4 linked regions of the Schizosaccharomyces pombe genome follow. The gene in region 2 interacts genetically with the main gene of each other region. Each region holds a gene or a part of one and is shown on either strand. Other genes may lie near its edges. The genes, in order: SPOM_SPBC1348.10C, pdh1, mak1 and sin1.

Region 1 (4,609 bases), on a different chromosome or scaffold from region 2:
GTCATGTAGGCAACATATTCATGAATAGAAGTTGATCAAATTGCTGATTAACAAATTCAAAAATTAGATAAAAAAAAGATTTATACCAATATAGGAATATAGTATGAGTAGATAATTCGTGAGATTAATATTTCTGTAAAAGTTAAGTTTATGTCGCATAATGTCGAGAAGCAGAACGGCAGTATAAAAGCGATACTAAACGGCGATTAGCAGTAAAAGAATATTCAACAATAATGTTAATTTTTTAATCAAGCAAATGAGAAAAAAATGAATCCAAAAATGATTAAATATAAATGCAATTATTAGCACTATCATTTTGAAACAAGTCCAAAACGACGTTGGCTACAATGACAAATATTAGAAACAGCATATTCTTGTTCAATGCTTATAGTTGGTAGTCATGAGTAGAGAATATAAATACAATGCACACGATGTAGATTTGATGTGGGTAAATGAGCAAGTAATTATTGATCGTGGAAATGAAATACGACCTATAAGCCTAAAGCATAATTGATCACTAAAAAGTGCTCTTTTATCTCCAACTTGAAGAAAAAGTAGAACAAATAAAAAGGCATCACAAGCTGCCATACAAAAACTATCAAACTTTGTTCAGCTAAATGTTTTGTGCATAACGATGATTAGGAAATTAGTGTGGAAAAGTTACAACCTTATGTACTGTTTCGGAAAGATACAGTAAAACAAACAATTCAAGAGAGATCTAAAGAGACAATCAGGTTAATGGCCTTTAATAATAAGAAATTACCGCGATGTACAACTTAAGCAGGTGTGACAAAAAGTACAAATGTACGTTCGAGCAATTAAAACTACTATTGACATATCATAAAATAATGTCAAATGTTGCAAAAAATAACAAACAAATTTGTTTTCTCGAGGTCAAGCGAAAAGATATTTACATGTATGAAAGTCGAATAATTGTGATAATAGCGAGGATTTATGAACAAAGACTACTCGAAAATACAAAACTTATTTCTCCCTAGTATATGAAGATCAAAATAACTTAAGCTAGTTGAAATGCATGCAATGTGTTAAACGTGGAATCATGAATTCGCTATGCATTTTATTGGCGTTTTCTTTTTCGTGTATCCGCGCTAGTACACTAGATTACGTTGCCTCTCACCATACATCGAATGTCCCTACTATCATCCTCCTACTTATATTTATAATCAATACGTGATCATCAGATCATTCCCTTACACGCTCCCATTTCAGATTATGCATCGTAATACTAACAAACTATTTTGTATAAGCGAAGTAATTAACTCCATTCGATGATGAGCGATCAGCTTCTGGTATTATTGTTCGCATACATATCTTGTAACATTTGTTACTCAATAGAAATTTAAGGTAACATTGATCATAAAGTAAAAGCTTGCCGTACTAAATTGTATCCGCCTAACGTTTGCGAATTTTGCAGCAAGCATTGTTTCGTATTTAAGATCACTTTTGTAGACAGATCTTGAGATAACGCGACAAATTTTGGGGCTTTTAAAGTTCGGAATTCTTTCTTCCGGATCAGAGATGTGTAGTGCGCCAGAGTAATATATGATTTAATATTCTTCCGTGTAGTACACTTTTCCATGCGAACTTCAATTTTTACAGCTTTTGTTTGAACTTTTTTTATTTTCTGCAATGTATGTCAACTATATTGGACTCTTTGCTTTCGTTCAAATTTCGTTGACGTTAGCTTATCCTCCCGGTCGTGTGGAGATTTCTGAAATATATGATTTTGAAGAATCTAGTTCGTATAAAGGACAAGATATTGATACATCCGTACTTTACACTTTGTCTAAAAGGAAACCTGCGCTCGTAAAACGAAGTACCGACGCTTCGTATGCCCCTTTCAATGTGACCTGTTCAAACGACAATCTGTTGAGGCCGGCTTCTGAAGGTTTAAATGAGGGCGAACAGAGCTATATCAACAAACGTATTTCTAAGGTTAACAGTGAACTCCGATCATTTATTTCTAAGACAGGTTTGAATGTTGACTTGGATAAGGTGGTTAACAGCTCGGATGGTCCACGTTTAGGAATTGCATTCTCAGGTGGTGGGTTACGGGCGATGGTTAATGGAGGTGGTGCATTCAATGCTTTTGACTCAAGATTCGAGAGTGACTCTCCACTTTCTGGTCTGCTGCAATCCGCGATGTATATCAGCGGTCTTTCTGGTGGTTCATGGCTTGTTGGATCAGTGGCTATTAATAATTTTACGAATATAACATACTTACGTGATAATGTCTGGAATTTGGAACATAGCGTTTTTGCTCCTCATGGGGATAATGTCATTGAAAATTTGAATTATTATAATGACTTGCGCAAAGAAATTGATCAAAAGAAACATGCGGGCTTTGACTGTTCTTTGACGGATTTATGGGGACGTGCTTTGTCCCGTAAACTTGTTGATGCTGAAAGGGGAGGACCAGGCATTACATATTCCAGTATGAGAAATCAAAGCTGGTTTCAAAATGCTGATTATCCTTATCCCATCATCGTTGCGGATAGCCGATTAGAAGAAGAAACGGCCATCCCTGCCAATACCAGTATCTTTGAGTTCACGGCGTATGAATTTGGTACATGGGACAATGGAATTAAAGCATTCATTCCAATGGAATATGTGGGAACTCACTTGTTGGATGGGGTTCCACCCGATAAGTCTTGCATTCATAACTATGATAATGCAGGTTTTGTTATGGGCACTTCAGCTACTTTATTCAACTCTTTTCTTCTTGACTGGAATGAAAATGTCAAAAAGAATGATACCTATTACGATATTCTTCATGCGATTCTTGAAGATCTTTCTAAGCATCAAGATGATATTGCTCCTTATCCCAATCCTTACCAAAATTATACTACTTCCAATACCTCTGTAGTGAATGCGTTCGAACCGTATGATACTATTGATCTAGTTGATGGTGGTGAGGATAGGGAAAACATTCCCCTTTGGCCTTTGTTACACCCACAACGATTTGTGGACGTTGTATTTGCGATTGATTCGACTTATAATGATCCTTATGGTTGGCCCCTTGGATCTTCCATTGTTGCTACATATGAGAGAGTTGTAACCTTTAATGCGAACAAGAGTGTTGATGTGCGTGGATTTCCATATATTCCGGACGAAAACACTATTATCTCTTTGGGACTAAACACTCGTCCTACGTTTTTTGGATGTGACGGTAAAAATACTACAGCAGGAAATCATGATGTAGACAATAATACCCCACCTCTCCTTGTATACTTTCCAAATTACCCTTGGACTTATTATTCCAATATATCGACATTTACTATGAGCATGGACGACAAGATGGCTAATGGAATTCTTGAGAATGCATTTATGTCGACTACGCAAAACAATAATGAATCTTTTGCAGTTTGCTTAGCATGCGCTATAATTCAACGCTCTTTGGAACGCAAGAAATTGAGTACTCCTACCCAGTGCTCTTCTTGTTTCCAAGAATACTGTTGGGACGGAACTCTTGCAACTAGTACGGCTTCTGTATATGATCCTACCGTAATGTCTGCTGCGACAACATCTCGTGCACCGTCAGGCACAACCTCGGGTACAGCCTCTAGTACAACATCTTCATCTGTATGTTCTCAAAAATTCACGTTGATTAAACTATTTTTTTTTTCATCGCTAACTTTTGTTCTAGGTAGCATCAGCCACTCCCACTCATAAACATTGGTGGGACTCGATTTTCGAAGCGAAAGAAAATCCGTAAAAAGATTCCATTGATGTTGTTTCAATGGATTCTCAGGCATGTGAGAAATTTAGAATAGATAGATTTACCTTTATTGTACTTGGTTACGAATTCGTTATGAAAGAGAACTAAGGATTTTCCTCATTCGTGAGACTGCTCAGTTAAACCCTTTACGTTTGATGGAGCTATGTAAACGGGTAAATGAATAATTTGTTATCTCTAAACTTTTTTAGATAAATGCAACCGGTCGAATGGATGAACAGGCTTAGTTGGCTCAATCTGAGATCGATGTGCATTCACGTAAAGACACGAAACGAAAGAATGTAAGCATGAAAACGATTAAATACAACATTGCTTTAAATTGATATATACGTACAATTGGGAATCACAAGTTGAATGAAAAATAGTCCAAGATCGTTGTGCTAATGATGAACATTAAATGATAGATTGTTTTAAAAGCTCCCGGTTTTTTAAAAAATAGATAATAATAAAATTGACTACAAACATTTAAAAGTAAGACAGAGACTTGTTAATTCAATATATGAGGAGTCACTACTAAATATTTTACTGTATTTTGAAACTTCCTAAAGGAAGGAAACTAAATAAATGCTGAAAGATTTATCAACAGTTTGGTACAAAAAACAGTAAAAGAGGAATATTCAATTGGTAGAACGAAATCGTTTAAAGACCCATTTGTTTTCGGTGTGTTGCTAAAAATGTAGCATCATCAACTTTGCTTCTCAATGCCATCCATTCAACAACATAATCTCCAGTAGGGTATCGTAGCTCATCACTTTCATCCGTTGCCGCTTGCAATATCACTTCTGCGATTTTTTGCGGTGGTGTAGCTGTTTTCAATTTAGGTAGCAAGTCTTCGTACAACTTTTGTTTCAG
Region 2 (4,107 bases):
CAGGTAACGGGGTGTTTGGTAGGAATTACTTTGAAAAAATCCGACTTTATGTCTTCGCCGCCAGTAAAAGTAACCTGTTTTATTTCTGTTATTTCCGTGACAGGTGAACTGTTGTACACGGCTATAGGTCGAGCCGGATCCTTCTCTACGTTTGATTCATCGGCCATAGTAATGTCAATATCCCTTTTCTCAATTTTATCCTTAAATGGCATGACCGGAGATGAAGGCGACCCAGACCCCTTATCTTGTAAAATTTTAAGTTGGTGATCATTAGAATTATTGTGTTCGCAAAACCCATTGGTAGAGTCAGCTTTCGTCAGTGTCGTTTCGCATATATGAGGTACGGTGAGATAGAAAGGGAGTTTACAAGGATTTTCATTTACAAGACTTTCTCCATCTATAGATGTTTTGCTAGCTTCTTCGTTTGAGGAGTGATTATCAACGTAGTGCTTTTCGAGCTCCACGTACTGTAAACCCTTCTGCAGAATTTCGACTAAAGCGCCAACCTGGCAAGTACTTCCCCATTGTTTGTCTAAATTTTGGATGCCTGTTTCCCTTTCAAATGCAAATTTAGTATGCGAATAACCTACAACAAAAAACACGATAATGTTAACGAAACCGAAAAAAAGGAGAGATGAAGCGACTATGATTCACAAAAACCAACTATTTAACATACCGCATTCTTTCAAATATCTCCAGATTATATAATTAACTTGATTCGTATCCATTTCCTCCACAATTTCTAAATCTATAATGGTTCAAGCTACCCACGTAAATTAAAGTCAAATCTTAAGGTCTGTCAACGAGTTTCACTTAAAACCTCAACAGTCTTCTATTTTCTTTCTTTTCCTGTCAATACGGATTTAACTTGAAGGATTGTCGACGAATTCCCATTGAGACGGTTTTTAGTAGTTGTGGAAGTATTAGTTACCGAAATTTAACTAGATACGTGCGATGGCTGAAACTGTGGATTAAATCTTCCTGCTCTATTATTTGCACGTAGGTTACTATTTAAACAGCGCTTGATCAAAATAAAAATAATCGAGTGCCCACTTTTTGTATCCGAGGAATTTCAGTAAAGTTTTCCCTCTTTGAAGTCGGTCTCTTAACAACTTAAAACGGCAATGCTAATAGTTCTCTTCGACTTTTAATTTCAATCAAAATTCACTTTTAGAAGTTTGTGTTAAGGAGTTGGCAGCCAGATTGTATTTTCTGACTTTCATGAATTCGTATGCTATTTCTGTACTCAACATTCCATACAAGAGTGGTAGGAGCCTTATTTGGTTTTTTTATTTCTAAAATATACTGCTATTTTATTTGAATAATTTGAACATTCAGGGTCCGCTTATCATGCTAAGGAAATGTGATTTTCTATTACAAATGTTTCAAGGTCAAGCGAATGCTTCTTTCTGATATAAGACCGCTCTAAACAATGCATTCACTATATTCTAAGAAAGGAAAAGATGATTTGAATTATGACTAATAATTTAAGACATTATTCGATTAAGAGAATCAACACTTTGTTTTAACCCAGCAGAGCGATATGCAGCAATTTCTCATCAGGGTTTCCCTCAAAAAACTGCCAAATATAATAAAAATTAATTTCTCCCTTTACTATTTACTCTAACTTTGAATGCGTTTATCTCCTCAACCGAACCGATCATAGTTACTTGATAAACCAGGTTGTGCTCAAACAAATATATCAGCGAGTTTAAACTTCTTTTCTATCTTCTATTAGAATCGGCAAGCTACAAAGTTATGTAATTTTCTGGATGTTTATAATCTGGTCGAGCCATGACCTACCTATCATCTTACCCGCTACCGAATGTCCCTGTAAATGAGATTATTGAGAAGGCATTAAAAAACCAGGTGCAGTGTCTTATCTCAACTTCTCATTTTCTAATTTACTAACTGTATTAATCCATATAGGCAATTTCTTATTATGCTTATATTCCAGTGAAGCGATCTTTGGCCAATTCAGTTTTCGTAAGAGTTTCTATTTTTTAGATGCAAACAGCTAGAAATTTTATTTCGGATTGCACCATTTACTTAGAGGTATCCTGGTATTGTTTACTTTGAGACCAAAATTGTTGACGTCGATGATTTTTACGGTAACGAGAACTTTACTATTTTTTTTTACCTAAAATTTATCAATGAATCATTTCTCCAAGTTTTCGGTTACGAAAAGGCTTCTTATCCTAGAGGTATTGTTTTCTGCAATATCATTTGGAATCAGCATCTACATCAAAGTGTTTGGTAGGAGTTCTATTGTAACTTTCTTTCTTTTATGTTTTCATTTGGTTCCAAATGCTTTGTTCTTGTTTCCATGGACAATAATTACCACAAGTTTTGTTGATGCTAATGTTTTTACGCTACTTTCAAGTATTCTCATTCTCTCGGTGTATGGCGTTGAAATTGAACGTTCATGGGGTCATAAGGAGTACTTGCTTTTCTGTCAGTTTTTAACAGTGATTCCAAACATTGCTGTCTTGATACCTTGCTTTATTGCATACAAAATTACAGATTCACATTACTTGTTGGTCGCAATTATCCAAAGTACGACCGCAATTCAAGCAGGGATCTTAACTGCTTGGTACCAATTGTATTCGTGTAAAAAGGAAGAATCTTCAAACAAATTTCTCTGTCCATTGTCAAAATACCTTATTTATTTGTTCCTTTCAATTCACTTATTTTATGTTTTTCAAAGTTTTCCATGGACTTATTTCTGCTTAGCTGTCTCAGGCACTTGCATCTCTGAGCTATATGTGTTGTTTGTTCATCCTGTGGTTCAAGAACTTTTCCATTTAGAAAGTCATACTCAGCTTCCTATATGAACTTTCCGTTTTAATCAAAATCAATACTTTTTTACGCATTGCTATTGTTTTGACTAGCTATCTAAGACCCGTGTATTGCTTTGCTTTTATAATTATTGACTGCATGCGCAAATGAATTTAAAATCAGTTTGCTTATGATTTTGCGTCTATTTATTAAATAATATTGAAGGCTTTTATTAAAAATAAAAAACTAAGTCTTTTTTGGCAGTTACTACTGTTAAATAACAATCACGACCGTTTACGAGTAATACTACAATTCTTGACAATTCCGCAAGGCACAAAATCCTTTACGGCATCTTTTAATGATTAAATAAAGCAAAAGAAATTACTTTCAAAATCGATACTATAATGCTACTATAATTTTATGCTTACCCTACCCTAAACTCTAGCAAAAAGTCCTTTAATTGAATTAAGTCCGTAGCTGCTGGAATCTACCAAGCACTCCATTAAGTTGGCTTGTCGTCACACTATTTGTGAGAATTCAATGAAGACGGGACAATTAGTCTGAGTGCTTATATTAAAGGACGATTTAATCCAGTTTTTGGGTTGGTCATGGTTCGGGGCCAGGGACTATATGTTAACATGTAGAAGTCATCAAGTCTTAAGCTCTAGCTTTTCTATGTCTAGATATTCTTTATCTTAAGTTTGGATGACTTATTTAGGCCTATATTTTTTGTATTGTTTAGTCGTTGTAAAAGAAGAGTAGCTTTTTGTATAGTTTGACTTAATTGAACAGTTTTATTTGCATGGATTTGCATAGTTTTCGTAAATGGCTTTAATTTTTCTTTATACATATCCAATGTAGAGGTTTTAGAAGTATTAGAATCTTCTGTATTCAGTTTCTTTTGGAACGAGAAATCGTTGGAGTCTGAAAAATTATCATGGGATATCTTTAAGCCTTTCTTCAAATAAGGGTGAAGCTAAGAAAATATTAGTGATTGCTTGATTATTTACATAACTGAAACAATGGAAAACTCATTTTGTGTCATATGTTAAGATGAAGTCTTGAATAAAACATTCGCCTGTTCGTGTTTTAAACTTACTTTAGATTTTAAATCGGCAAGCCGTGAATTATTTATGGCCATGTTTTGTTTCATTTCTTCGTAAGATTTCTGTTCATTCTCCAAACGAGCAGTTTCAACCTTCAATTCCTGTTGAAGTACGTTAATATGGTCCAAATCACTGTATAATTGCTGTTCCAATTGCATCTAAAAATGTTAGTCATATCTCTTTCGTATGTATGCGTATCAAGACTTAATAACTTACATTCGAA
Region 3 (8,117 bases), on a different chromosome or scaffold from region 2:
TCCGGTAAGCCTTCAAATGCCGTAGAAATTTTGCGACGTTCGTATTTAATTTCAGCAAAATTAACCATGATTTACAGAAAAAAATGACAGACTGACGGTTCATGAAGATAAACTTCAGGGAGTTTATGTTCAAGGTTTAAAAACGATTTACGTATCAAGTGAAACGGAGGCATTGGATATTTTAAATAAAGGTATGGGGTCACGTGCCGTTGCAAGTACGTCGATGAATGCGCAAAGTTCACGGTCTCATTCTATTTTTGTACTCGAAGTTGTCCAAACGGACACTGAGTCCGGCGAAACTCGACGAGGCCGGTTGTTTTTAGTTGACTTGGCAGGTTCCGAAAGCGTAGGAAAAAGTGGAGCAGTCGGGCAAACCTTAGAAGAAGCAAAGAAAATAAACCGTTCTCTTTCAACTCTTGGAATGGTTATTAATTCTCTCACAGACAGCAAATTATCACATGTTCCTTATAGAGATTCCAAGTTAACGCGTATTTTAAAAGAGTCTCTTGGTGGAAATTCTCGGACCACTCTAATTATTAACTGTTCACCAGATTCATACAATGCAACAGAGACCTTATCTACTCTTAGGTTTGGACATCGTGCAAAGAGCATCAAAAACAAAGCGGTAGTAAACTCAGAACTTTCTGTTGATGAAATGAAAAGACAGCTGTATATTTATAAAGATGCTTTGTCTCGTTGCGTTTGTGGAGCCAGAATTAACAATAACTTAGACTATAATAATTGTCATTCTAACGTATGGTCAGGCGAGCATTCCCTCACACTGTCAAATCTCGCCGAAAAATCCAACTTAAAGGAAGCAGAAATCATTCAAGGAAATAGAACAATTCAGGAAAGTAATAATGACAGAGACGAAAGCACAGTTGCTTCGATACACAGACATAACTTTGATTCTGATTCTATCAATCGTTTGTATGCTGAAGCACAACTTGAACTTAAACAACGAGATGGTGTTTTATCATCCACTAAACAGCAATTGTCAGACCTTATGACTGCATTGGGCGATGCTCAGGAGCGGTATGTTGAGCTTGTTAAAAACCACAGAGTAAATTCAAATCTTACTGCAAACAACTCATTAAATGACAAACCGGGTTTTACAATAGAACAGAAAGATAAAAATTTTTCGATAAATAACGAGAGAAACAATTTTTTACAAAAACTGAGTACTTTGGATTCCTCACTGGCTGCTCTAGTAAATGTTCAACGAAAATTGATTAAAGCTTTAATTTCCAAAGAGCGACCTCAAAATGGAACAGTAATTAAGAAAATTCAAGGGGGCACTTAAAAGCTACACTTTTTTACTCTGCTTTGCGAAGGATTATATATGTTTAATTAATTTCTTTAGAGTTGTTGAGCTCACATTTAATCATGAAATATTGCATCTCGTCTAGCTGCTTTCTGAATAAACTAATTTTCTGACTAATTATTTATGCAGCTTCTTTTATATTGCTGCAGCATTATAATATAAAAGAAAACAGCTACGCAGCAATGCATTGTTTATATGCTTATTCAGCAAATGTGTAACATCTCAAATGATGATGTAATAACAATTCAATAAAAATTTACCGTTATAATATAATCAGCGAATTTAGTAATCTGAGACTACTATTCTTTAGCAAGGATTGACTATTGGCTAAGCAATCATTACCTTTTTTAAGCTACAACGAACTGTAGTTTAAGTGTTACTTGCGATGTATATAATCTTATGTAGGATGTTTATCGTAGATGGTAAAATGTTGTATCAATATAATTATGATATTGAATACACTAACATAACCACACATATATGGCTTATAACTGAAGTCAGGAAAGAAGGTTTGAATGTATCAACATAATGCATTGTTATAAAACTACTAGTATAGAAGATTTACACTAAGGATGGAAATACGGAGAATCATGAATATTATGAAAAGTTGAACTAACGCAGCACAGTATAGTGTAGTGACTTGTTTCTAACAGAACGATCATATTTACTAGCCACCAATCTTCGCTAAACAACATTTACGCGATCTTCAATATCCATTTACATTTTGCTAACACAACTTGTTGAGTTGTTTCATTTCCCTATTTCGAACACTTTTTACCAATCTTCAGTGCTGTAAAGTCGCTAGGAAAAAAGCGTTTTAAATGGTACGCTTATAATTTCCATTGCTGGTTGCCGTGGTCAAATAACTCAAATACATCAGTTTTTTATTTGAAACGATCTTTATAAGATAGCACTTTCTTTTTGGTAATTACAGTTGGAAACTTTGTTTTATTTAGTATCTATACTGGCCTGTAAATTTAGTCTAAAAAAATGAGGCCACCTGACGATCAAATCAACAATAACGTTGGTTCTAATTCTCACTTGGAAAAGTTGAAAGAGGTAAGTGATTTCAATACTTGGATTCTCCTTTTTTAAATATGAAATAAAATGTGATATCTCTTGTTACTTAATTAATTTAAATTACTAACGTTTGAATAAGGCCATGGACCACCAGCTGCAAAAATCATCAAAAATTGTAGGATCGTTTACTAATTCTCAAAACTCTTCTGTTGGCTCTGTTCATTCTCCGATACTTGAATCTCCCACCAGTTTAAATAGGCAGCATCGAAATTCATTTTCTTTCAATAATGTATCTTCTCCTTCACTAGAGGATGAGCGACTTATTAATTTTCCCCGAGTAAATCCAAATCGATTGATGACATCCAAACGTCCCAATGAGTTATTTAAAACCTCCTCAATGAGTTCAGATTGCTATTCTCCTCAAAAATCTAGGGAATCACTAAATTCATTATGCCATTCACCTGCTCCATCCGTTTCTTCTTGTGGAAATGCTTTGAACAACGATAATACTTCTGCTTCGCACTCACTAACTGATGAGCAACCATTTGAAACAGATTCATCCGCTAACTTATTTAAGCAGTTACAGGAGAAGCGTAACCGTACCATTGGAAATGTGTATGAAATGGCTTGCTTATTGGTCTTTAAAACCGGTTTGATGAATTTCTGGAAAAACATTATTGACTTTTTCGCTCAGCAGTTTTTTTCCACTCAAATATCTGTTGTAGAACCGCGTGACCTTTCTGACATATACAATACTCCTTGGCAACTCAGATGTTATTACGATGGCGGTTCCCATTATGATCCGTATAGTAACCCTATAAGTGTTAATGACAACCTTGCTAGCAGTTCTTATGTTACCGTAGTTGCTTCGGATGGTTCAAAGGGTATTATATACAAAGATCCAGCTTCTCTTAAACATGAAGGGGATTTGCTTATTGATAGCAAAGTTGTACAAACAGTCTTGGAGCGTGCGACATTGCTTGTATATACACGTAAACAACAGCACATTGTTAAAAACACCAAGGTTCATGATAATGATTACTTTAGTTCTATACCTAATGTTGATGATATTCGCAGCATTAAGAATTCATGGAAAGTTTTTCATGATGAAAAACTTAATGAATTGAAAAAGCAGGTTGAAATTAGTGCTTCTGCAGCTCAGTTAAATGGACTTTATCCACAGAAAAAGAGAGCATTTGTTTCACATTTCAGTCAGAATCGTAAACCGTATTCCCAAAGTGACATTTCAAAAGCACAAAGTTCGTCTTTTTCGGAAGAACCTTCAAACATTTATGATGAGTATGAACAAAATTTACTTTCTCCTTGGTCAAGATCTCCAGTTGCTAGTCCCTCCATTCAAACAGATCCTAATAGGAATCCATTCTTCCAAAATTGCTTGCAAGAATCTTCTTTCGCTACTGAATCGTCAACAGAGAAGTCTGCTTCAGAGTCCGTATCAGAAACAGCTGTTAATGATGATTGTAAAGGTATGAATTTTTCTGGTAACAGGCGTCAAGAAGATCATTTGAACGACTTCACCAGTTTTCCTACTGAAACTGCTGTCAGTATTGTACATGTTCCTCTGATGTTTCCTTGTTCGGATCAAACTTCAAGCCGTGGGAGAGCTCCAATTGCAATTCTTTCTTTCAAGTCCAATTTAGTTCCTTATCCGGAAAATTTAATAGCCTCCATAGAACGTTTGATACCCTTTATTTTTTCTTCATACTCAAATTCTCAATCTGTTCCGTTACTTCCTTGTCCTACACAAAGGCATCTATTATTTAACACGTCTAGCACTGACAATACCAAGGAGTTGAGTATGAGCGCGAGCTCCGAAAACTCTGATTGTCCTCATAAAGAAGGAGAGTGCGTAGGCAGCTTTTGCAATATCAATGCTAAAGGATCTTCTCTTAATAACATACCTAAATTGCCTAGGTTTGTACCAGTTCCTTCTGAATTTTTTAAAAAAAACCAGCGATCATGGGTTACTTTAAAGAAGCATCGTTTGCTAGCTAGATTGAAGTCTCGAATTAGCAAAAAGAATTCTAAAGTGAACGAGAATTTGAGATTCTCGCTAAATGATGGTGAAAATTATTCAAATGAAACTATTACTCTAAAGAAGGATGAAATTGTTTTAGATAAATCAAAATCATATGCCTGTTGCACTTCTGAATCTCACAAGTATGTGCAAGGGCATTGTGGTGGTCAAGCGCCTCCTTTTCCCTTACTAAAGGTTATAATTGATTCTATACCGGTTCATGTGTTTACTGCGGATCCGGGAAGTGGAAAACTCACATGGGTTAATAGAAAAACTCTTCTTTACTGTGGTTTAAATATGAATGAGCAAATAGAGCTACAATTTAGTCGAATTCATCCTGATGATCTGCCAAACTTTTTAAATGACTGGAAATCTTCATTATTCTCTGGTAGTGGTTTTTATCATGAAATTCGTTTGCAAAGGTTTGATAATGTTTATCGATACTTTATCTGTCGCGCGGTTCCTTTACGGGATTGCACTGGATCTGTGCTACATTTTTTTGGAACAATGACGGATGTCCATGATCAAAAGTTGGCAGAACGAGAACTACAAAAACAATCAGCTATAGCCGCAAATGAAAACAGCTACAGGTCTTTAGCTGAAGCTTCTCCTCAAATTGTTTTTGCCGCAAATGGTAAAAATGGAATTATTTATGCAAATGCGCAGTGGTTAAGTTATTCAGGTCTTTCACTGGAATCTTCATTGGGACTTGGGTTTTTATCTGCTGTATATCACGCTGATCGCAAGAAATGTTTATTGCCTGAATCTTTGGAGGGAACGTTTAATAACCAAGACGAAAGTAATGGTACCAAAACGTTTGCGGCGGAGATACGTTTTAGATCTACCGATGGTCATTATAGATGGCATTTGGTGAAATCTGTTTGCGTAAATAATTCTGCTGATACGTCTACTAATCTCTGGTTAGGAACTTGTACTGATATTCACGATCATAAAATGTTGGAAGAAAAGCTCCAAGAATCTAACATTGAAGCTCAAAGAATTGTTCGGAGCAAAATGCAGTATCTTTCCAATATGTCTCATGAAATTCGAACCCCTCTTATCGGTATTACAGGCATGGTAAGCTTCTTGTTGGAAACTCAAATGTCTGCCGAACAGCTGAGTTATGCACGTATTATTCAGCAATCAGCTAAGTCTCTTTTGACTGTTATCAATGATATTTTGGACCTTAGTAAAGTCAGAGCTGGAATGATGAAGCTAACTAGCCAACGCTTTTCTGTACGAGCTATGATGGAAGATGCAAACGAAACTCTAGGTACCCTCGCTTTTTCAAAGGGAATAGAATTGAACTACACGGTTGACATTGATGTTCCTGATATAGTATTTGGGGATAATATGAGAATGAGGCAAGTTGCTTTGAATGTGATCGGAAATGCTATTAAATTTACGAATGTTGGTGAAGTTTTTACTCGTTGTTCCGTTGAAAAGATTGATTACTCAACCAATACTGTTGTTTTAAAGTGGGAATGCATTGATACCGGTCAAGGGTTTAACAGAGATGATCAATTACAAATGTTTAAACCGTTTTCTCAAGTAGAGAGTTCTACATTACCAAGACATGGTGGCTCAGGTCTTGGATTAGTTATTTCAAAAGAGCTTGTTGAGCTACATAATGGTAGTATGTCCTGTCAAAGTAGAAGAGGCGTGGGAACGCGCTTTATGTGGACTGCAACGTTTACAATGGATAAAACTCCTCTAAAATTTGAACCCCCAGATGGTTGTTGTCCAGTCTGTTTTTGTCCATACGAAAAAAGCAAACAAAGCACAGAAGACTATTATTGCGCAGACGATGGAAACGATAAAAGCGCGACGAATTTTGTAAAATTGGCCGTAAATAAAGCAGATCCCGGAAGAGAAAGCAACCGACGTAAACTTGAATCGGACAAAAATGTTCAATCCAACAAATATGTGAATCCTTTCGCTTCTGAATCGGAATTTTGTCGATGCGGCGCATCTGCTGATCCATACACAGTTCTATTTTGGAGACTCTATAGAAACAAACCTTCTGGGATCAAGTTGGATAAAAGTGCTTTAGCCGTTGTTGTATCACACACTAAATACAGTAGTGAAGCGATTGGCAACATGCTTCAATCAATTATCGATATAAGCTCATTTAAAGATATCGTAAGGTATGGAAATACCTATGAAGCCTTTGAAGAATTGCTAGAGAATCCTATGCAATCCAAGGTCACCCATATTATATTAAATCTTCCGGACATAGAAGCATATGTTTTATTTGTCAAATCACTGCAACTTTGTAGTCTATACAAGGATACAAAATTTATTTTGGTGACTTCCACTCGACAAAAAGAATCATTATCTAAGATTTTTTCAGATAGCGAGGATTGTAATTCGGAAAGCATCCATTACGTTTTAAAACTTGTGAAACCATCCAAGTTTTTTCCATTATTTTATTCTGATTCTGAGGAAAAGGGGAAAATCGGTGCACTTAATGATATGACTCGAAAGGCTGCAATGGAGCAGAAGGCTGATGCTGAAACACTCCGATATAATCTGGCAAAGTCTGGCTTTAGCGTGTTGTTGGCGGAAGACAACATTATCAATATTAAGGTTATAAGCCGTTACCTTGAAAGAATTGGTGTCAAATTCAAGGTCACCATGGACGGTTTGCAATGTGTTGAAGAATGGAAACGTGAAAAGCCTAATTTTTACTCTCTTATTCTAATGGATTTACAAATGCCTGTTATGGATGGTTACCAGGCATGTAATGAAATTCGTAAATACGAATTGGAAAACGATTACCCTAAAGTTCCTATAGTTGCACTTAGTGCGAATGCTTTACCTCATGTTGTTTTAAGCTGCAAAGATAGTGGTTTTGATTCTTACCTTGCCAAACCTATTACTTTGCAACACTTGTCCTTAATCATATCTGGCATACTTAATTATACGAACCAATCAAAGTTACACAAATGATTTGATATTTAATCTTCACTCACTTTTGCTTGTATTTTTAGAAAGGATCTCACTGTTTTAATGCTTTTATTTTTACTTTATATTTTTTCTTTGTTTTGATCAAAAGCTTATTTAGTGCCTATATTTATTTAAATTGACAACTTCTTATTTTGAATATTTTCCAAAATAATAATTATCTAAGCATCTCATATTTTATTTTATTAACTTTTTAATGCATTTATATTTCCAGCGCCCAGAACCAGTATAATAATATTAAATATCACATATTCCCCTTGTTTAATGTAATGTGTATTTTATTGGCAAGTTAAAAAAAAAATTGTATTGTGTGCTAATCAATCAGTTTTGAAATACAAACCAAATTAAAGTATAGGAAGCAGTCAAATAATCAATTCGAGGATACATTCTCATTGTTAAATGCAAACTTTAGGTAATTCGTAATTAGCTCTTGTAGCTCAGTGGTAGAGCGCTTGCCTAGTAAGCAAGAGGCCCAGTGTTCAAGTCACTGCTGGAGCAAATTTTTTCCCTTACCATAAGCGTAAATTATGCTACACTTCACTATGCATCACTACATATATTTGTTCACTGTGTAGACAGGATTTTTATTCTAATTCCAAGGGGAATGCTATAAGCCAGTCCAGAAAGAAAAAACAAGTTCTTGGTTGGTATCAATACCTTTCGTCGTACAAAGTATATTTAGTTCAATTACTGGCTTTGCCTACAACCGATTAGATAATGCATCAATACTTATACTACGTTATATAGTATTACTATTTTACATGTCAG
Region 4 (5,099 bases), on a different chromosome or scaffold from region 2:
TTTTGGTTTCTCTGAAGATTCGTCCTCGTTCCAAGATATAAAGACACCTCCTCGCTTATCATTCGCAGATGAGAACCGAGAGAATTGTAGGACTGATATCTACCGTTCAGATTCTATTCATGAATACGAAGAGCCACTTACGAGCTCCATCACCTCTTTAGATTCCCCTCATGTTCTTGACGAAAATGCTCCGATACCGCTTCTTCCAAAAGTGGTTTCTTTACCAGATCCTCGCTTTACAAATGTTCTTTCAGCCTTTGACGCTTTGACTAGGACATATTTGCTACGACAGAATTCTAAAGTTGTACATGCCACTAGTCAGAAACAAGAAATGCAAACTTCGCGGCGCGTTGTCAATTCTTGTTATATGCCAGAATCGTTATCGCGAAATTTGTCCAGTAGTTTGCAACAAACCGGCGGGAGTGGAAGATTGTTTGTCCGTCTTATGGAAATCAGAAACTTAACTATTCCTTTGGCATCGGGGATGACCACTAGGTTCACTTATACAATCTCTGGTAAGCACATTCAAGTACCATGGAACGCCTTACACTCTACTACTAAAATTGAAAATGAGTATACTTTTGATGAAAGTATTAGTTCTTCAATTGTATGTACGCTCCGTGCGGCTTACGATCCACCTAAGGTTCGCACTCGTTCTACACTTGGAAAAGTATTTTCAACAAATAAGAGAAAGTCTATGACTACCGACCCCGTTTCAGAAGCACTTCATGGATTTGTTTCTGAAGATGGAACTTTCGGCGAAGTTACCATTAACACTGATTCTGTAAGCCGAACCGCACTAGGCCGTTGTCAATCTATGGTTCTACCAATCATGAACAAATGGACTGTTGATCCGGCAGCTAAAGATGTCAAGCCTCTCCCTCGAAAAGTAGGAGAACTCGAAATCCACGTATTTTTCTTACCAGCGCTTCCTGTCTCTCTGAAAGAACTTCCCGCTTCAATCGAGTCTGCCATGTATGACTTAAAGCTTGCTGAATGGGATAGAACTTTATTGTGTGATGGTTATCTATGTCAACAAGGTGGGGATTGCCCTTATTGGCGTCGTCGCTATTTTCAATTAATAGGATCAAAGTTAGTAGCTTTTCAACAATTCTCTAAAGTTCGCAGAGCAACGATTGATTTGTCTGAAGCCACACATATCGTGGATGACAACCATTATAGTGATGAAGAAGAACTAGAAGGGTATCTGTATTTCGAATCGGGTTTCCGTATCATTTTCAGTAATGGGGACTACATCGATTTTTACGCTGAAACCGTCGGCGAAAAAGATGAGTGGATGTCTACACTTCGTCAGCATTTGGGGCAATGTTCAATGGTTCACAAAAATTGGACCAAATCATTTCTTTCGCTGAGTTTTTAAATTGACCATTTGCTTCGACCTCACTTTTTCTATTTAAATCACATTTGGTCTTTATCTTCTCCTTTATCTATATCGTCTTGCATTTTTCATTGGTTTTGTTGTTTCCCTCGCATAATACATAATGTTCATTTTATCTACCATCGAGAAGCTAGATTCGGTTGAAATGAGCTCGTTTTATATAAGCTGTTAAAAATCGGATAGCAATTACTTACTACTCCCCATGTATATTTATACTTCAGTTGCAAAATACTTCATTTTTGAAAGTTTCCCTTGATCCGAAGAAACGTTGTCAAAATAAGTTGTCTCAAAACGTTTATCTTGGCTTTGTAAATAAATCAAATTCCTTAAAATACTCTAGCTTGGCGTTGTCGAGTGAATTTATTAAGTCGTAAGCTTGCCATTTGAGAAACTTCAAAAAATAAAAATTCCACAATAATTTAATTACATTATTCTGTAAATAATTAATACCGTAATTGCTATATAGTTCAAATACCATTTTTAGCTGTTTCGCAATATCTAAAACGTATATGAGATCACTTTTTTTCATTGTCTAGCGTTTTTGTACTTCAGTTAATAACTGTTTGAATTAATAGTTTCGTTCATATTTTGCTGTCTTTTGAAATTTGGTGGTACTTTACGGTGTTACCCCCAACACTTAATTAAATGCTTAGCGGGGGATACATAGCAACTGAAATAAAGCACGCGGCGTCCGTCACCAACGTTTCACATAATTGAGTTTACAAATTTTCTATATTAAGGTGCCATAAAAAGTATGGTCGCTAAGTATTCAAACTTCGTTGAAATTAAATATTTTATAAAGTCTGTAAATGCGATATAATAAGGACTCAGAATGGAATTAACAAGAGAGAAAGTGTAAGGATACTATTTTTTTTCCTATGAAACTTATACAAACTAATACGTTTATTTTACAGTCTTTTGTTAACATTTTTGCGAATGCAATATTCTCATATACTTCCTGACTCAATCGAAAATCGAGTTATATCTACTGAGGCCCCGGAATGGGAATTGGACAAATCATTGCAAGACTTGTTGATTCATGATTATGATTATTCTAAAACTTCGTTTTCTTCAAGTCCCCCGATTGTCGCTAATGACACTGTATCCAATGTCCGAAAGCCGAGTGATACTAAACAAGTAAATGGTGCTGGGGGTCAAGTTAATCATTCTCGAGCTGAAGATTCTGATTATGCTACTTCTGACTTATCCGAATCTTCAGATGTGGGTGATGACGATAACTCGTGTATATTTTCTTTTAGCAAAGTCCCAATGCAGAAGGATGTTGCAAGTATAAAAGAAGAGGAAAGACTGGACCCCAAAATTTCCACATTAAATAATATTGATGCTATCGCAAATCTTAAGCTTACCAACATGGTAGAATCCTCGCAGGCAGTGAATTTAACCTCGTCCAAACAGTCTTCCATAAACCAGCAAAGCAGTGTTTCTACGGATTATGATGATCTACGGTCGATTTCTGAGGAATCATTTCATTTAAGTCAAGGAGAAATTCCTCTTACTTTTCCAATGAATTCTTCCTTAACTGACACTGAAGCTGATGCAGTTGTTGCGGTTGATGCTCTTTTTCCTGGTAAGCAACGCGGAACACACAATACAGTCAATAAAGCAAGATCTGTTTCGAACGCAAAGGCTCCTACATCTGCTCTTCGTGCATTACTTGAACATAAAGAAAACAGTAGCCAGAATGGGCCATTGGCTGAAAATTTTGCTACTTTTTCTGGACATGCAGAATCAAATGCCCTCCGTTTAAACATTTATTTTCCTTCGAGCGAAAGTCCTTCAAAGCCCTTATTTGTAGAACTCCGAAAGAATGTTTTGGTCTCTGAGGCTATCGGTTATATTTTACTTCAATACGTTAACCAGCAACTCGTGCCCCCAATAGAAGATGAGGCTCAAAATCCGAATTATTGGAATTTACGTATTGTTGAAGATGACGGGGAGCTAGATGAAGATTTTCCCGCTTTGGACCGTGTAGGTCCATTATCAAAATTTGGTTTTGACGCATTTGCTTTAGTTAAAGCCACTCCTGCCCAAATAAAGGAAAATCAAGCTGCCTACCCGTTTAAATCGAAGCATCCAACATCAATTCCTGAAGCCAATAACAAAACGCATATTCGGCATACTAGTTCAACTTCAAGTCAATCACAAAAGCAAGCTCAGGATGTCAAAGATACACTTAATACTTCTCATGTCGTACAGGTACGACTTCCCCCATACGGGGATAATGCTCGATTTTGCAATATTGAAATATCAAAAACTACTAGATTGGCTATGGTGTTGAACCAGGTGTGTTGGATGAAGCAATTGGAGCGATTTAAGTATACTCTGCGAGTTGCTGGATCTGATACTGTTTTACCACTTGATAAAACATTTAGTTCACTAGACGGAAATCCAACTCTAGAACTTGTTAAAAAGAAGGTACGCGATAAAAAAGGAAGTACCCAACAATTGCCAACCTCCTCACCACAAAATTCCGTTTATGGATCTATTAAGAAAGATGCACAATCTTCAACATACAATGCAACAGATATTATGTCGAGCAATACCTATCAAGAATTTCTTGTATGGAAACGACAACCTGTTTCATTTATGGGAAGACATGAGCGTCTACTAGCTATTGATGGAGAATACGTTCACATAATGCCGTCTGAATCCAAAAATATATTTGAAACGCCTAAGACGTCCAGTATACATGCTGGATCGATTATTTTATGCAAGCAGTCTAAAAAATCACCATGTAATTTTAAAATGATTGTGTCCAAGAATAGGGAAACTAAGCGGTAAGAAATTTTTTAACGCTAATAAGCTAACGAGTTCAGGTATGATTTTGAAGTTTTGTCCGCCTTGGAAGCTGCCATTATAGTTAGCAGGATACGTGCACTGATGAATACTGTTAAAAAAATAAATTAACATTTATTTATTACAAAAAGATTCTATGAATACATAGGTATAAACACCTTTGTTTTTTGGTATCACATTGCTCTCTCCCCTATGTCATTTTTATTAAACATCTTCAAAATCAGCTTCATCTTCATCGTCTTCATCGTCCTCATTAAATCCATTAATAATAACATTCTTTTTACTTTCTTGCATTTCCGTATCACCATCAGTAATACCATTTGTAGAAACAATAGGTGGTAATGAATTGTTTTCTTCTATCGATTTTGTTCTTTTATTTTGGATATCACTATCTGAATTTAGGTTCTCGGTTTTACGCTTGACCGACCCATAATCAGTACTTTTGTTTTGAAGAGAGGTAGCCGTCGTAACGTCTAAGAAGTCATCATCCTCCTCATCATCTACGTTTTCACTGTCCATAAACTCGCTTTCCTCTTTTTGCTTTGCACGAAGTGTTGCGTAATAAGCATCTAAGGCGCTCTTTTCAGAAGTAATATCTGTTTTAGTGTCTTGAACCTCATTAACAGTTTCAGTTCTAAAACTATGAAGTGCGGCATCTTTAGCTCCAGCACGAGTAATGGAGCCAGAAATTGTTGATGTTGCATGCCATTCGGGAAGAATGTTTTGAGCAGCTTTGACTTGCTTGTCGCAATTCCTTTCACGCTTTTCATCAGTCTCTTTATCAGCAGAGAAATCAACTGTAATAGATGGCGAAGAGGTGGAAAGACGGACGTCTGAATTACTTTTTGACAAGTTTTGTTGCGACAAATTTTGGGTGTCTAAC

Evidence for each region.
Region 1: mutations in pdh1 (region 2) and SPOM_SPBC1348.10C together harm fitness less than expected from each alone (positive genetic interaction), as found in Schizosaccharomyces pombe (one large-scale study listed by BioGRID).
Region 3: mutations in pdh1 (region 2) and mak1 together harm fitness less than expected from each alone (positive genetic interaction), as found in Schizosaccharomyces pombe (one large-scale study listed by BioGRID).
Region 4: mutations in pdh1 (region 2) and sin1 together harm fitness less than expected from each alone (positive genetic interaction), as found in Schizosaccharomyces pombe (one large-scale study listed by BioGRID).

Annotation. Positions count from the first base shown.
Region 1 is NC_003423.3:25,414-30,022, reverse strand, and holds SPOM_SPBC1348.10C (phospholipase), read left to right. Parts: upstream 1-1,650; coding exon 1,651-3,603; intron 3,604-3,667; coding exon 3,668-3,736; 3' UTR 3,737-3,868; downstream 3,869-4,609. Other genes in the region: SPOM_SPBC1348.09 (dehydrogenase), read right to left, coding at 4,397-4,609. UniProt on the Schizosaccharomyces pombe protein: Catalyzes the release of fatty acids from lysophospholipids.
Region 2 is NC_003421.2:191,173-195,279, reverse strand, and holds pdh1 (protein pdh1), read left to right. Parts: upstream 1-2,153; coding exon 2,154-2,834; 3' UTR 2,835-3,457; downstream 3,458-4,107. Other genes in the region: Set3 complex subunit Hif2, read right to left, coding at 1-586, 677-728; kinetochore protein fta7, read right to left, coding at 3,458-3,754, 3,878-4,042, 4,101-4,107.
Region 3 is NC_003424.3:4,707,656-4,715,772, forward strand, and holds mak1 (phosphorelay sensor kinase Mak1), read left to right. Parts: upstream 1-2,053; 5' UTR 2,054-2,314; coding exon 2,315-2,383; exon of another isoform or gene 2,384-2,483; coding exon 2,484-7,334; 3' UTR 7,335-7,606; downstream 7,607-8,117. Other genes in the region: kinesin-like protein Klp3, read left to right, coding at 1-4, 78-1,303. UniProt on the Schizosaccharomyces pombe protein: Involved in the control of the SAPK-dependent transcriptional response to peroxide stress. Also has a role in G2/M regulation.
Region 4 is NC_003424.3:4,745,421-4,750,519, reverse strand, and holds sin1 (MAP kinase-interacting protein Sin1), read left to right. Parts: upstream 1-2,092; 5' UTR 2,093-2,231; coding exon 2,232-2,254; intron 2,255-2,297; exon of another isoform or gene 2,298-2,313; coding exon 2,314-4,197; exon of another isoform or gene 4,198-4,236; coding exon 4,237-4,327; 3' UTR 4,328-4,420; downstream 4,421-5,099. Other genes in the region: mid2 (septin ring organizing protein), read left to right, coding at 1-1,381; transcription factor TFIIE subunit Tfa1, read right to left, coding at 4,421-5,099. UniProt on the Schizosaccharomyces pombe protein: Component of the mechanistic target of rapamycin complex 2 (mTORC2), which regulates multiple cellular processes to control cell growth in response to environmental signals.